Arabidopsis thaliana: one gene and its partners. The protein of the gene in region 1 interacts with the protein of each later gene in a pairwise test. Each region holds a gene or a part of one and is shown in the gene's direction. Other genes may lie near its edges.

Region 1 (4,339 bases):
TGCTGCGTGCTTGTCTCTGCAATTCAGACTTAAGCTTCTCTAACACAGGTGCGGTTGCCTTCTATGGATGGAAGATTTGCCTTAGTTCCATGGGCAGATATGCTTAATCATAATTGTGAGGTACTTCTACTTATCTTTATGACCAATTAGCTCCTAGATTCTCCTAATCAGAAAGCATGATTGACTTATGGTAATCAATATTTCAAAATCTGCTTGGAAAGGTTGAGACGTTCCTGGATTATGATAAATCTTCAAAAGGAGTTGTCTTTACAACAGATCGACCATATCAACCAGGTGAGCAGGTAAATAAGATAAATTCATTCAGATAACCTGAGCGAGCATTGAAGTTTAATATAAGTCAGTGTATAACACAAAGAAGTCCCGTTTACACAGTTTGCCTTTTAGCGCTTCAGTAAGTCAGTCCAAAGTGGAACCAATGTTGTCTGAAGTCTCTGATATGTTTCAGTAACATGACATTGTGCAGGTTTTCATATCCTATGGGAATAAATCTAACGGAGAGCTATTGTTATCTTATGGGTTTGTTCCCAGAGAAGGAACCAATCCTAGTGATTCAGTAGAACTAGCATTATCACTTAGGAAAAACGATAAGTGTTACGAGGAAAAGCTGGATGCTTTAAAGAAACACGGATTATCGACGTATTCCATTCTCCACCATCCATGTTCCCCTCTCAAATTTGTAGATCTCTCTTGATTAACTTGAGTTTTGTTTTGATTGTTTGTGTTAACTTTTCTCTGGCAGACCTCAATGCTTTCCCGTAAGGATAACGGGTTGGCCAATGGAGCTAATGGCATATGCTTATCTTGTGGTGAGCCCTCCAGATATGAGAAACAACTTTGAAGAGGTTTGGCAACTCCATCTTGACCCTTTTTACCATCCAATTCTTCCCAAATTCATAATACATCTCTTATCAATTATTATCCATTTCAGATGGCGAAAGCTGCTTCAAATAAGACATCAACAAAGAATGATCTAAAATATCCTGAAATCGAGGAAGACGCATTGCAGTTCATACTGGACTCATGCGAAACAAGCATATCAAAGTACAGCCGATTTCTAAAGGTAAGTAACAAAACAGCTCATCTCTCTCTCTTTGTGGGAAAATTTTCACTCCATCTGCTTATAGTTTGCTTTGTCAATTATCTAATTGTAGGAAAGTGGATCAATGGATTTGGACATAACATCTCCAAAACAGTTGAACCGAAAAGCGTTTCTGAAACAGCTAGCTGTAGACTTGTCCACTAGTGAGCGCAGGATACTGTACCGTGCTCAATACGTAAGGAACAACTTTCTAGCCAATACGATAGATAAGAGTCTGTGGATCGATCCATGATATTGTGGAATCTGTGTTTTTTTTTTTGTTTTGTTTGGGTCAGATTCTGAGGAGGAGACTGAGAGATATCAGAAGTGGTGAGCTGAAGGCTCTACGGCTCTTCAGTGGACTTAGGAACTTCTTCAAGTGAATGTTGAATGAGGACATTTCAACAGCTTTAAGATGGATCAAAGGTAGGCCTCGTTGTGCTTCAACCAAAAATGTAGTTTTTTATTACAAAAAAATTGAACGTTGGTGTAGGCATGGTTGGATCTGTCTCACTCGTATAGGAATATATTGGTCCAGCCATATATGTAATTTGATCATTTTCTATAAACTCAAAACCTGAACCTAAATTGATTAATTAAGGAAACGCATGAGAGAGTAAGGGTAGAAACATGTTCTTCGTATTTGATCCGAATCGAACTGAAATAATCGATCCAACAAACAAAGATAATTTGAAAATTAAGAATATATCTGACTACAACTCATAACGAAAACCGTACCAAAACTCACACTCCTTGTTACCGCAAACAAGATAATCTGATGGTACACGTCAGAACATTTGTTTCTTTAGCAAAGCAAGTAAACATTCCACTGTGGCAAAGTAAAAAACGAGAAACCTATAAAGTCTTCCTAATGAAACGTACTGATTTTATGGAGTTTCCATTTTCGACATAATATGACGTGGCAATATCTAAATGGTTTAAAGATGTTTTATCTCCAATGATATAACGCCACGTAAGCCCGCTGACCAAATAACCCAAAGAGTAAGCAAGCGACGTCGTTTATAGTTTGATGATCTTGTCGGGTAACGAAACTGCCCCTTGAGTCAAAACAGGCTTCTTCGTGTCCGATTCTGAACGAGCTCGCTCTTTCTCATCCAATTCTCTCCACCGTCTTCTACTCCGATCAATCTTCAAATTTTCTTAACACTCATCGACCAGATCGAGTTTCCATCGATCTAATCAATCAATCATCAGATTTGATCTTCTCAAGAAGGTAAATCCCTCTCACTCTCTGTGTCAAACCTAATCACCTCGTAGGAATCGAAATTGGAACAATTCAATTTGGTTTGGTTTGGAATCTCTAGTCGATTCTTCTTCTAAACGATTGAATTGCGTTTTGTGCTTTGATATAATTCGAAATTATTGTGGCAGATGAGCTTGAAGGGTACGATCGTATTACTAGGGCTCTTATGGAGCTTCCAGGCTACGTTAGGGATTAGATTCGTGATAGACCGTGAAGAATGTTTCTCCCACAAGGCTGAATATGAAGGTGATACGCTTCATGTCTCTTTCGTCGTCATCAAGTCTGACTCTCAATGGCATTTTAACGAGGATGGTGTAGATCTTGTGGTATGACTTTTTTTCTTCTAATTGAACTTTTCTACATTCTACATTGCAAAATCGTCGAAAATCAATAGAATTGGTATTCCTAAACAATGCTTAGGATTTCCATTGTTAATGTTGGTAGATAATTTGAAGTATGTATTGATAAAGAATTTGGTTACTCTTTAAAGCTGTTATATTGTACCATCTGGTTAATTTGGTGGTTGTTGTTGTTGTTGATATATTTTGGATGCATTTTGAATAGATACATGGCCCAACAGGCGAACAAATTCATGACTTCAGGGAGCAGATAAGCGCAAAGCATGATTTTGTTGTCCAAAAAAAAGGGGTTTACAGATTCTGTTTCACAAACAAGTCTCCTTATCATGAAACCATTGACTTCGATGTACAGCTTGGTCACTTTGCATACTACGATCAACACGCAAAGGACGGTAAGGATTATCTGTTTAGTTTTGTTTCAGTTTCGTTTGGTGATGAGGTATTTAGCTGAAGATGGTTTTTGTGCAGAGCATTTCACTCCCTTGATGGAGCAAATATCAAAGTTAGAGGAGGCTCTTTACAACATCCAATTTGAACAACATTGGTTAGAAGCTCAGACCGATCGTCAAGCTATCGGTAACATTTTTTCCTCTAAAAACCACATTTGTTGTTCTCACTTCAATATTGAGTGATGGTTTGAATATGGTTGTTCCTTGTGCAGTGAACGAGAACATGAGCAAAAGAGCAGTACACAAAGCTTTGTTCGAGTCGTTTGCACTGATTGGGGCAAGTTTTCTCCAAGTTTATCTTCTGCGTCGCTTGTTTGAACGCAAACTCGGCATGTCTCGTGTCTAAAAGTATCGAGTTTATTATGACTTTGAACTTATTTTGCCTTAAAATGTACCAGGGAATCTTTACTTAAAACCTTTTTACAGACAGATCGTAGTTCATTGGAAGATTTGCTTTCTCCCATGTTCAAGAACTAATCCTCTCGTGATGATAATTCTTTTTTTTCTCTTTATTAACAGACAACTTTTCCACAAGCTAGGTTTTCATTTCAATAGAGAAAATAGTGATTCCTTAAAACCTTTTTTCCCTAAAACAAAGAGAATAACAATGTGATCAAGCTTTGAATAAGACGTGTCAAAAGTACTCAAAATCCCTTAACTGGATTCGAACTCTTATAGAGAAGGTTATAAAAGTGGACACTAGACTAAGTTAGTTGGGCCCAGAGTAGATAGATAAAGCCAGCTATCATTTTCTTAGTCGTCGTACAAGTTACCTGAAAATAAAATAAAAACACAAACTTTCCTGAAAAAGTCGTCTCCAGTTTTAAGCATTGATAAATCCGACAAGAAGTCCGATTTTGTTCCATAGCTTGCTTGTGTTTTTAGTGGATTGAGTCACTGAAAGAGAAATCATAAGGCTTTGTTGATGATGGATCATTTGGTGGAGACGAATTCAGTTCCGAGCAGATTGGTGGAAGAAAGGCTTGATGAGATTCGTAGAGTAATGGGTAAAGCTGATGACGACCCGTTAAGGATCGTTGGTGTAGGAGCTGGTGCTTGGGGAAGCGTTTTCATTGCAATGTTGCAGGAAAATTACGGTAAGTTTAGGGGCAAAGTTAGTGTGAGAATCTGGAGAAGAGGAGGCAGAGCAATCGATAAAGCCACAGCT
Region 2 (5,000 bases), on another chromosome or scaffold:
GATAAATTACTATATCGGCCTAAAGCATAAGTTTGTGCACAAAAATAAAATTAATAATAATTAACTTGTGACCTAAAAAGCATATAAGTATAACTACTATATTTAGCTTTATGAACCGGCCGGGCCTCCCATCTAATGTCGCCTTCAAAGTTTCATTTGTGGAAGCTCACATGTTTTCTGATCACTGTAGCCACCGAAGTCTTAGGCTCAGAGTCTTTCCAACGTTATAAATCGATCATCAGCTTCGGTGATTCGATTTCGGACACCGGAAACTTTCTTCATCTCTCCGACCCAAATCATCTTCCCCGATGGCCGCCTCATTATCGACTTCATTGGTATGAACTTCTTTTTACACCATCCCATATTCGCAGTTTAAATCAAAACTTCAGAAATATTTTTCAGTTTTTAGTATGAATAATCAAGATTCAACAAGTGTTCAAAAAAAAAAAAAAAAAAAAAAAAATCAAGATCCAATTAGTCAACTTAATTTGACAGCTGAATTCTTGGGGATACCATATATTTCCCCTTACTTTGGACATAATAATCAAAGCTTTGAGAATGGAATCAACTTCGCGGTGGCTGGAGCAACCGCGGTGGAGCCTGAATTGCTTCAAGAGAAAGGAATTACTGCTAATTACATGACTAATGTAAGCTTGATTGTTCAGCTAAGCATCTTCAAGAAAATTTTACCAAACCTCTGTGGCTTTCCTTCAGGTGATTCCTCACAAATCTCAACTCATCTTGGAACACAAGGGACAAGCATAAGCCAATCTTTACTTGTTTTCAAGATTGCAGAGAGATTCTCGAAAACTCGCTGTTTATTGTTGGTGAGATTGGAGGTAATGACTATAACTACGGATTCTTGATTGGAAAAAGCATCCCGGAGATTAAAAAAAATAGTCCCCCTTGTTATCAATGCTATTTGCTCAACAATTGTGGTAATAAAAATCTTTCTTAAATCCTGTTCAATGATCCTTCCCTTTTTCTTGTTTTGTTTGGGAGACTAAGAATTGAACCTTGCAAGCATGAACAACATGGTACAGGAATTGTTCAATTTGGGAGCCAGAACGTTTCTAGTGCCAGGAAAGTTTCCAACTGGATGTTCTGCTGCATATTTAACGAGATTTAGGACAACAGATATGTAGGACTACGATGCTTTAACCGGATGTTTGAAGTGGCCTAATGAGTTTTCTCAGTACCACAATGAGCAGCTTCAGACAGAACTCAATAGACTCCAAAAACTCTATCCCATTGCTACTATCAGATACACTGACTACTACGACATTGTGTTACATTTTTACCTTGAACCGACGAAATATGTTGCCCTTTCTTATTCCGTCCCCTTAACTAACATATATACAGTATTGTCACAATTATTTATATTACCAAATTTACTCTTTTGAAGGATTTATGGAGAGACCTTCACTGTTGATAAGCCATGTGGGTCTAGAGGAGTGAAACATTGTCGAGTTCCTTCTGAGTATGTGACGTGGGACGGTTTTCATTTGACCGAAGCCGCCTACCGATGGATTGCTAAGAGCTTGCTTAATGGACCACTTGCGTCTATTGCTTTGGCCGCTCCTGCATTTTCCTTTTTAAGCTGATCTACGGACATAGATCACTTTCCCTTGAGCACTTGGGACCTGTTGCTGCGAGTAAACTAAAATCACGTTCTTCGTTTAATCACATTGATTGTTTTTTTTTTTTTTTGTTGGTTTCTCTTTACTTTGTTTTCAAATTAATACACAATCTCTTGCTTGTACAACAAGTTTATGGGAGTAAATCTTTAAACTAATTTTTATTTGTTTATAAAAATTTTCTGAATAATTTTCTCTCTAAGAATGTAATTTTTTTTATTTTTTTTGATAAAAATAAATGTTGATATATTAAAATAGCCATACTAGATTATGATTTGCAGTGGAACCCAAGCAAGTATAAATCATGGTAGATAATCCGTAACTAGCTCGTAAATAACCTGCAAATAACTTATCACTCATGAATAACATGAAAATAATCTGTAGATATTTTCTAGAGGTTGGTTAGAACTTAGAAGTCCACCTACCCATCTTAAAACGATACAAATACAAAATTTTCTAGTCCATAAAAAGTTTTGTAGTCTTGGCCCACCATTATTTATAAGGCAACAACAAAATCATTGAGACATATACTCACCAGTCCTTTCTTTTGTTGTTTACGAAAAAACGAAACAAGATGTTTTGTAAAATAATATAACATTCTAAAAGCCGAAAGATAAAAATTTCACCGCGGACTTCTCGTATGGCGTCACTAGATTCTCTAGTGAGCTTCTTTTTATCTACCCTTTTTGTCACAATCGTGAGCTCACAAACGCAGTGCCGGAATCTCGAGTCGATTATCAGTTTCGGTGATTCGATTACCGACACAGGAAACTTGGTTGGTCTCTCGGATCGTAACCATCTTCCTGTGACCGCGTTTCTGCCGTATGGAGAAACCTTCTTCCACCACCCAACTGGCCGTTCCTGCAACGGCCGTATCATCATCGACTTTATCGGTACTTCTCTTTCTATGTAACTTGACATGTAAGTAAGTGACTAGGAATGTAAATCTGATGAAGTATCGAATCATGATCTTATAATTGGTCTCAGTTGGAGTGTTTTAGACGTCTTCAATCTCTGAGAAGAATCCAAAAACACAAAAAAAAACTGATAGTTGCGTTTGAACCTCTGTTTTCTTGTGTGGGCACAGCTTTTCCGATTTATAAAAATCTGGATTTTCTTGATTAGGGTTTCTTATGTAGACTCTTTCTCTGATTTGGTTTTTCTTGATCTGCAAGTTAACAGTAGTATGAGACCTTAAGTGATTCTCCAATTTTCTATTTACAGCTGAATTCTTAGGGTTACCGCATGTGCCTCCTTTTTATGGATCTAAAAATGGAAACTTTGAGAAAGGAGTTAATTTCGCTGTTGCGGGAGCAACGGCACTAGAAACTTCCATTCTTGAGAAGAGAGGAATTTATTATCCTCACAGCAACATCAGTTTGGGAATTCAGCTTAAGACCTTCAAGGAGAGCTTACCAAATCTATGTGGTTCACCTACAGGTACTGAAGATCAACTTTTCCCTTTTCTAGCTAGTGGAGTCATGATTATTACGTTATTGCAGTGAATTGACCTCACTTGTAATGGGTTTAATTCTTTGCTTTTAGATTGTAGAGATATGATTGGAAATGCTTTTATTATCATGGGAGAGATTGGAGGGAATGATTTTAATTTCGCATTCTTTGTGAACAAAACCAGTGAGGTCAAAGAGTTGGTTCCGTTGGTGATCACTAAAATTTCTTCTGCAATTGTGGTAAACATTCTTGATCAGCGAGTCCCTAGAACGAGTAATTTTTTCAAAAAACTGTTATGTTTTTTGTTTTGTTTTTGTGTTTTGGTACTGAATGTTGAATCTAGGAGTTGGTCGATATGGGAGGAAGAACATTCCTAGTTCCTGGAAACTTCCCGCTCGGATGCTCAGCAACGTATTTAACATTATACCAAACATCAAACAAGGAAGAGTATGATCCTCTAACAGGATGTTTGACATGGCTGAACGATTTTTCAGAATACTACAACGAGAAGCTTCAGGCAGAACTCAACAGACTCAGTAAACTTTACCCTCATGTCAACATCATATATGGTGACTACTTTAATGCTCTGTTGCGCCTTTACCAAGAACCATCCAAATTTGGTTAGCTTTCTTGATCCTTAGTTTAATTACCTAAAAACCCAAGTTCATTGATTCAATTTGATAATTGAGTTAATCATTCAATTCATTGTACAACTAGGGTTCATGGACAGACCCTTACCTGCTTGTTGCGGTTTAGGAGGACCGTACAACTTCACCTTAAGTAAAAAATGTGGGAGTGTAGGAGTAAAATATTGTAGTGATCCTTCAAAGTATGTGAATTGGGACGGCGTTCATATGACTGAAGCTGCATACAAATGGATAGCTGATGGATTACTCAAGGGTCCGTATACGATTCCTTCGTTCCATTGGTTATGCCTCGGCTCAAAAATTAAGAGCAAGGAGTCATTAGACACGTAGTGTTCTTTTGACAAACAGCTGAAACAAGCTTGTTGGAGCTCTGAGAGATAATAAGAAAACAAATACGTTCTTAAGTGCTTTCCATGGATATTTTATATCATTGTGTATTGTTGTTTGAGAGAGAGAGAGAGAGTGGTTAAGTGTTAGTAGCTAACTCATGTGATATCTTCAGAGAGATCTTAGATTAGACCGGTCGGAGATGCACTGTTCCAAAAATGGACCACTTCATGAGTGGTAGAAATAACAGAATAGGAGATGATAAAATGGGCAAGGAGTTGAACGGATCAATTTGACTTCTAGTCTTCAATACAAAACCAAACTACTCTTTACAAATCAATATATTAATACGATTTTTATAATAATTTTAATTATAAGACTAAGATTTGTAATTTAGTGGTTTTTGTTATTATCGTAGTTATGTTATTATCCGGTTTCAAATCAGCGTAATACGTGTTATTGACAAATAAATGAAGTGAAATTCAACATCAAATTAAAATATGGGAAAGAACAAATAACCTACAAAATAACTCGTAAATAGCTTGCAAATAAGCCGCAAGTACATATTTTGTAGATGGTGGTTAGAAGTCCAAGTACGCGTTTTATAGATTGGTGGTCACGCCTACCAATACAAAGTCTTGTTGTTATTAGAAAGTTAATTGCTTTATTTATTACAACTAGAAATCCTCGTTTAGTCATGAGTCATCGGTCCATCCCTCCACAATTGGCCTCTATATAACTTTCCCAAAACGAATCATTTGTAAAATAAAAAAAAATAAGATAGAAACTCACTCCTGACCTCTCGCATGGCGTCTCTAGACTCTCTAGTCATCTTTCTTTTTTCTACTCTTTTTGTCACTATCGTGAGCTCGGAAACGCCGTGCCCGAATTTCAAGTCGATCATCAGTTTCGGCGATTCGATTGCGGACACGGGAAA
Region 3 (6,396 bases), on another chromosome or scaffold:
ACAAACTCTTATTTGAGTTTTAAAGCCGTAAAATGGAAGGAATAATCAAGCGAAGATCCACCAAATCTTACCTGAAGATCATTAGGAACATATCCAGCATCAACAGCAGCACGAGTAGCGCCCACTGTATAAATGAAACAGTTATACACGTACATTTCGAAGCACATTCACTTGAGAGATAAAACAATTTCTCCACACTCACTGGTGATTAGGATAAGCATGTATAACTAACCTGCTCCACCAAGTTTTTCTGCAAGCTTTTCGATCATTTTAAAATTCTCAACACTCTTCAACGCCCTTCCACCAGTGATCACAACACGTGCACTTCCAAGATCAGGCCGTTCTGTATCCTGAGTTGAACGTCCCACATATCTAGATTTGCTGACAGAGTCTGCAGTGAAGAATAGCAAAACCATTCACAAAAAAGAACCACCGACGAAAACACGAATACATAAGAGAAACACTAAACGGACCGTCTTCAAAATTTGAGAGATCAATCTGAGAGACAGTAGCTTTCTTTGACTCTGAGTTTGCTGTAATCGGGGTGACAGGAAAAGATGTAGATCTAATAGTCAACATACAAGGACCCGCACCAGTATAACGAACTGTACACAAAGCGTTTCCCGCATAAATAGGCCTGACACAGATAAAAATCTTGGTTTCAGTTCACAGTTCAACGAGAACGAGAGAGAGTTGGAATGTACCTGATAAACTGGTCAGATCCTAAGATTTTGACAACATCAGTAATAGGAGAAACATCTAAAAGAGCAGCGACACGGGGTAATATATTCTTGCCAAATGAACTAGAGGAAGCAAGAATGTGTGAGTAATCTCCTTGTTGCCGAACAAAGTCAACCAATTTAGCCCAAGGCTCAGCTAAAGAGTACTCAAATTTATCAGAATCAGCAACAAGTACCTACAGAAAAAGTACCAACACTGAGACCACAAAACCAAAAGAAAGCAAATGAAGAGAAGGGAGAATGTTGTAGCTTACCTCGGAAACAGAAGGATGACAAGAGGCAGCTTGAGAAGCAGCTTCTTGAAGAGAAGAACCAGAACCAGCCAATAACAAAGAAATTGAAGAGCTCTCACCTAATGAATTAGCTGCAACTACTGTACTCACTGTCTGAGGTTTGATTGTACCACTCTCATGTTCTGCTAGAATCAGAGTGCTAATCTATATACAACAACAAAAATGTACACAACACAAAAGTGTTATTGTGAATTTCTCAGCATAACAACAACAAAATGATTATCTCAATATATATATATATATAGAAGCTTCACAAATTGAAAATTTTCAAACCAAGTAGAATGATAAAATTGAAATCACCACCACAAAGAATGCTCCTTTACCACTTCCGATTCATTTTTAATATGAAAAAATCGAATTTGGTCACGACGAAAATGAATGATCGATTCCAGCAAAAACAAAAGATCGAACTGAAGGAAAATGGGTAGGAGATAAAAGATCATACGCATCTAGAGAGACTGGTGATGGAAATGGATATAGATCGAGGAGCATTAGAGGCGACGAACTTATTCTTCGTCAGAGCTCTCAGTAGAACAGTTCTCGTCATCGTTTTCTCTTCTGATTGGTTTCTCTCTCCTTCAGATTTCAGAATTCTCGCAAAAAGAAAGAAATAAGCGAACTATGGCAAACGTCGTCGTTTATAACAATTTCTTATTGCTATAGGAACTACGTCGTTTATGATAAAGCTAATTGTATCATTTTTAAAGGAATTAATAATTGTTTGAACTTTAAGGATGGTCAAAGATCGAAGCTGATTACTTCATTTCCATTTGTAGTAGATTAGATTCGACAGATTTCACAACTTCCATATTCTAATTTTCTAATTTTTATGGTACGATGATGATTCCTGAAAGAGAACAAAATAAAAATCTAACCTTTAAAGGATTAGAATTCTTCCTGCCAAAAAAAAATCTGTCTTTTTGAGCTTTTTCGTGTAGAGTTCCCATAGTTAAGCAAAGTGGGATCACGACGGCTTTAAGAACAAAATCCTAGATACAGAGATAGAGAAAGAGAGCTCATTGTCAAGATCTGTTTTTTTCTTTGTTAGAATCCTTTCTTCTTTGTTACAGCCATGGTTTCAACCTCCAAGATCAAGTCCGTTGATTTCTACAGGTGGGAACCCTCTTTCGTGTAACAATTCCAATGATAATTCTCTCGATAATGGTTTTTGACGCACTTGCAAAAGTTTGTACCTTTCTATACATTTTCGACTGTATGTGTTTGATTTTGCCTTTTTGATAATTCGAAATTGGTTCTGTCTTCTCGTTTTTCATCTTGATGATGAACTGTGCATCGGATTACGGATAATTACTCTGTGAACTGTGTGTTTGTGTTGTCTGGAGTTAGAGCTGAGAGTAATTTGAGTTCCATTTGTTTCTTCAGGAAAATCCCAAGAGATTTGACTGAAGCATCTCTCTCTGGTGCTGGATTATCCATTGTAGCTGCCCTTGCTATGTTGTTTTTGTTTGGAATGGTAGTAAACTAATCTCTGCCCTGTTTTCTTCTTCTTCTTCTTCACAATCTCATATTTTCTGATTCTTGTATCTTTTGCTTCTTCCTCTGTGTAAGTGAAAAATACCGTATATCCAATGATTTTGGTTGATTATTTAACTTTCAGGAGCTGAGTAGTTATTTGGCTATTAACACTAGCACATCTGTAATAGTTGACAAAAGCTCTGATGGGGACTTCTTAAACATTGATTTTAACATCAGGTAAATGGAATTCATGTGTTAGTATTGGTTATAATAAACAATGCCAACATGCCATTGTTCTTTTCTTTTGTCTGTTTGTGTTTCAATCTCTCTACAATAGTGGCGGTGTCTTCATAAATTGATGTTTGGTTTTGACTTATTTCTTGTAGCTTTCCTGCCCTCTCATGTGAATTCGCATCAGTTGACGTGAGTGACGTGTTTGGAACTGTAAGTTTCGGTTTCCAATTCTAAGTATTTCTGTTTCTAAGATCCCATTTTGCACTGCGTGCATACATTGTCTCTTAGCTGTTTTATAAACACAAAAGGAAAGAAAAAAAAGCAAAAGTTTTGACATTATTTATTGTTACAGCAAATGTATGTTATAAGTTCTCATGCTAGGATGTTTAACTTTTGTTGTGCAATGACAATGATTATGTCATTTCCTATGTTTAAGTTTTGTTATAAACTTCTTCAGCACAGGTTAAATATATCGAAAACGATTAGAAAAGTTCCAATTGATCCGCATTTAAGAGCCACTGCTGAGGAATTTCACTCCACCTCTGATTTACATCTCATCAACCATGGAGACGAAGATCATGGTGACAATAGTACTTATGCGGATATACCCTTAACTGGTGCTGCTTTTGAGAAGTTTACACATCAGTAAGTTGGCAACTTAATCTATTTTGTGTATACTATACTATATATGAGTACCTGTCCAAGGGGCTTAAAGATGAATGAATGAAATTGGACTTTCTTGATGCAGTTTTCAAATTTTGGTTGTTAATTTTTATGCGCCATGGTGCTACTGGAGTAATCGCCTGGTAATGCTGTTTTGCGTCTTATAGTAAACTTGTCAATTTTCAAGATACTTTTCATTTAGTATGCAACTACTAGATTTTTTTGATGAAACTAGATTCTAGATGTTCTCATCACAACTTAGTTGGCTTCATCGAATGAGAAAGAATTTGCCTTTGTTTCCTATACGACTGTAATTATAATTAACCAAGCTATGAAGTCTAGCAGATAATATCTTCTTGGTAGATGAATCAAACTGTTGTGAGAGTTTTTGTTGGTCTGATAATTACCTAAGTTAGCTCAATAAAATATGTTCATGCTTTATCTCTTACCTTTTTTTTTTTGTTTTGGCTCCTAAAATTTTCAGAAACCATCTTGGGTGAAAGCATCTCAAATAACGAGAGAAAGGTGTGTGTGTTTTTTTCTCTCTGTTATAAAATTATTTCTGATGATGTAACAATAATTATCCAGTTACGCTTTGCTGATGCTTTGTTTTTGGAACATCTGATGTTGCAGATATAATCCTGGAACTGATGATCGTGTTCTTTTAGGAAGTGTTGATTGCACAGAAGAACCTACCCTATGTAAGAGGTATTTCCAGTCTTGATATTTTCCTCCATATTTTTTGTTGTTTTATGGTATTATTCAGATTGATTTTTTCAGTTTGACTTAAGCTTAGTTTACCAATCTTCAGCAATCATATACAAGGCTATCCATCTATTCGGATTTTCCGCAGAGGCAGTGGTCTTAGGTGAGAAAATGAGCTAAATTAGTTCCTTAAGTTTACGATTAGCTTCAGTTATGATTCTTCTTGTCATCTACTTAAGCATTTTGTAAAACTCCATTCCCTTTTTCGTGATCAATTGTTATCTAATCTTATCCAGGGAGGACCATGGGAACCACGAACATGAATCTTACTATGGAGATCGGGACACAGATAGCTTAGTCAAGGTAGACTGGTCTTAGTTAGATTCGACCATTAGGATTATATGATTCAATAATCACATCCTTATACCTGCTTTTTGTGTATTCATATAAGAAACTGTGTTTCCTTGAAAAACTTTCATATACAATAACATGACTATTCCAGATGGTGGAAGAACTGCTCAAACCTATTAAAAAGGAGGATCATAAGTTGGCTTTGGATGGTAAATCTGATAATGCGGCTTCAACTTTTAAAAAGGCACCAGTTAGTGGAGGTTGTCGAATTGAAGGATATGTTCGCGCAAAGAAGGTAAAAATGTCGAACGTCCAATTTTATGTGATGTCCGATGATTTTTCTTCTTGCTTATCTTTCCTCTTTTCTTATGGTGCCATTTTGTCTTTTATATTGTTTGATCTCAGGTTCCCGGCGAACTTGTAATCTCAGCTCATTCAGGAGCTCATTCATTTGATGCTTCTCAAATGAACATGTCTCATATTGTTACCCATCTAACATTTGGTACAATGGTTTCAGAAAGGTTGTGGACTGATATGAAACGATTACTGCCTTATCTTGGCCAAAGCTATGATAGGCTGAATGGAAAATCGTTCATCAATGAACGACAATTGGATGCTAATGTTACAGTAAGTTCCACAAATTTCCATGTGAAGTACTTTCCTACTCGAGGTTTCTCTTATGATATATGTTGGCAATACAGATCGAACACTACTTGCAAATAATCAAAACAGAGGTCATTTCAAGAAGATCCGGCCAAGAACACTCATTGATTGAGGAATATGAATATACGGCTCATAGCAGCGTAGCTCGTAGTTACCATTATCCTGAAGCAAAGTTTCACTTTGAGCTCTCTCCAATGCAGGTATCTCTATGCAAATTTACACAGATGAGAAGATACTATATATCTCGCTACTAATTTCGTTGCCTATTCTCCTTTTTCATACTTTACATTTGATCCTTGCTCTGTATTTTGCAGGTCCTAATAAGCGAGAACCCAAAGTCATTCTCGCACTTCATCACAAATGTTTGCGCCATAATAGGAGGTGTTTTTACGGTATAGTATTTGTCTCACAGCCTACCTTTGTTTCATTCTCTGTTGAATTCCTTCATGAGAAAGTAAGATTTTTGCTTGTTGGATTTCAGGTCGCGGGAATACTAGATTCTATATTTCAAAACACAGTTAGAATGGTGAAAAAGATCGAACTCGGGAAAAACATTTGATCAGGAATAAGTGAGGTTAGATGTTAGTTTTTCCAATTTTTTAAGATCTACAAAACCATAAAGAGACACCTCAATTTCTTATATAACTTGTAGACCTTGTTTATTTTCGAATAGCCGTTTGAAAGAGAGAATAGAGTAACAATCTTCTTTGCAGCGTCTTGACTTCTTCTTGATTCTTTGCCTGTAATTTAACCGCAATGTTTTGGTTACTCTTTATTTTATAAATCATAGTTCTTGTAGTTATATGAATTGTGTATATAATTTAAATTAGAAATAAACAACAACAACACACACATACGCCAATTTACCAACTGAGCTGAAAAGATAAAGAAACAGAGTAACAATGAGAGCAGAAGACAAAACAGAGGAAACAAGGCGAAACTGTGTTTCCGGGAGGATGAGGGATGTGTGTCCATCTGTAAATTTAGTGTTGGATGCATCTGTGGTGCAGCTATCATAAGCGTCTCTTGAAGCACCTAATCTTGGCTTGGATGGTAGACGAACACAGCATTATCCATGACCATGACTCTGTAAGAGTTATGTATGGAATCAAGTAGAGTGGTTTATTAGGAACTTACACCGAGTCAGTGTATAGCTGATGGTCTGATCGAATGGTCCAACCCTTTGGGTCCATCTATCAGAAACTCTCTGGCACAGATCGTTAACACCATACACACGAGAAAACCGAACTCATTGTTCTGCATAGGTCTCT

What was found. The genes of interacting proteins can lie anywhere in the genome.
Region 2: the proteins of p24beta2 (region 1) and AT1G28610 interact in a protein complementation assay, tested with the Arabidopsis thaliana proteins (one large-scale study listed by BioGRID).
Region 3: the proteins of p24beta2 (region 1) and AT1G50950 interact in a protein complementation assay, tested with the Arabidopsis thaliana proteins (one large-scale study listed by BioGRID).

What each region holds. Positions count from the first base shown.
Region 1 is NC_003074.8:2,453,136-2,457,474, forward strand, and holds p24beta2 (emp24/gp25L/p24 family/GOLD family protein), read left to right. Parts: upstream 1-2,103; 5' UTR 2,104-2,333; intron 2,334-2,491; coding exon 2,492-2,689; intron 2,690-2,927; coding exon 2,928-3,114; intron 3,115-3,190; coding exon 3,191-3,298; intron 3,299-3,383; coding exon 3,384-3,517; 3' UTR 3,518-3,783; downstream 3,784-4,339. Other genes in the region: AT3G07670 (Rubisco methyltransferase family protein), read left to right, coding at 49-120, 222-302, 485-657, 761-863, 950-1,081, 1,173-1,295, 1,396-1,482; AT3G07690 (6-phosphogluconate dehydrogenase family protein), read left to right, coding at 4,097-4,339. UniProt on the Arabidopsis thaliana protein: Involved in vesicular protein trafficking. Mainly functions in the early secretory pathway but also in post-Golgi membranes.
Region 2 is NC_003070.9:10,052,943-10,057,942, reverse strand, and holds AT1G28610 (GDSL-like Lipase/Acylhydrolase superfamily protein), read left to right. Parts: upstream 1-2,061; 5' UTR 2,062-2,277; coding exon 2,278-2,530; intron 2,531-2,861; coding exon 2,862-3,077; intron 3,078-3,182; coding exon 3,183-3,328; coding exon of another isoform or gene 3,329-3,432; coding exon 3,433-3,709; intron 3,710-3,806; coding exon 3,807-4,066; 3' UTR 4,067-4,500; downstream 4,501-5,000. Other genes in the region: AT1G28600 (GDSL-like Lipase/Acylhydrolase superfamily protein), read left to right, coding at 4,870-5,000.
Region 3 is NC_003070.9:18,878,360-18,884,755, forward strand, and holds AT1G50950 (protein disulfide-isomerase 5-like protein (DUF1692)), read left to right. Parts: upstream 1-1,812; 5' UTR 1,813-2,105; coding exon 2,106-2,146; intron 2,147-2,416; coding exon 2,417-2,507; intron 2,508-2,651; coding exon 2,652-2,746; intron 2,747-2,895; coding exon 2,896-2,953; intron 2,954-3,200; coding exon 3,201-3,388; intron 3,389-3,491; coding exon 3,492-3,549; intron 3,550-3,890; coding exon 3,891-3,931; intron 3,932-4,039; coding exon 4,040-4,114; intron 4,115-4,202; coding exon 4,203-4,274; intron 4,275-4,407; coding exon 4,408-4,474; intron 4,475-4,613; coding exon 4,614-4,757; intron 4,758-4,867; coding exon 4,868-5,089; intron 5,090-5,163; coding exon 5,164-5,325; intron 5,326-5,439; coding exon 5,440-5,517; intron 5,518-5,606; coding exon 5,607-5,684; 3' UTR 5,685-5,896; downstream 5,897-6,396. Other genes in the region: ETFALPHA (electron transfer flavoprotein alpha), read right to left, coding at 72-124, 233-391, 474-637, 705-916, 995-1,177, 1,479-1,580.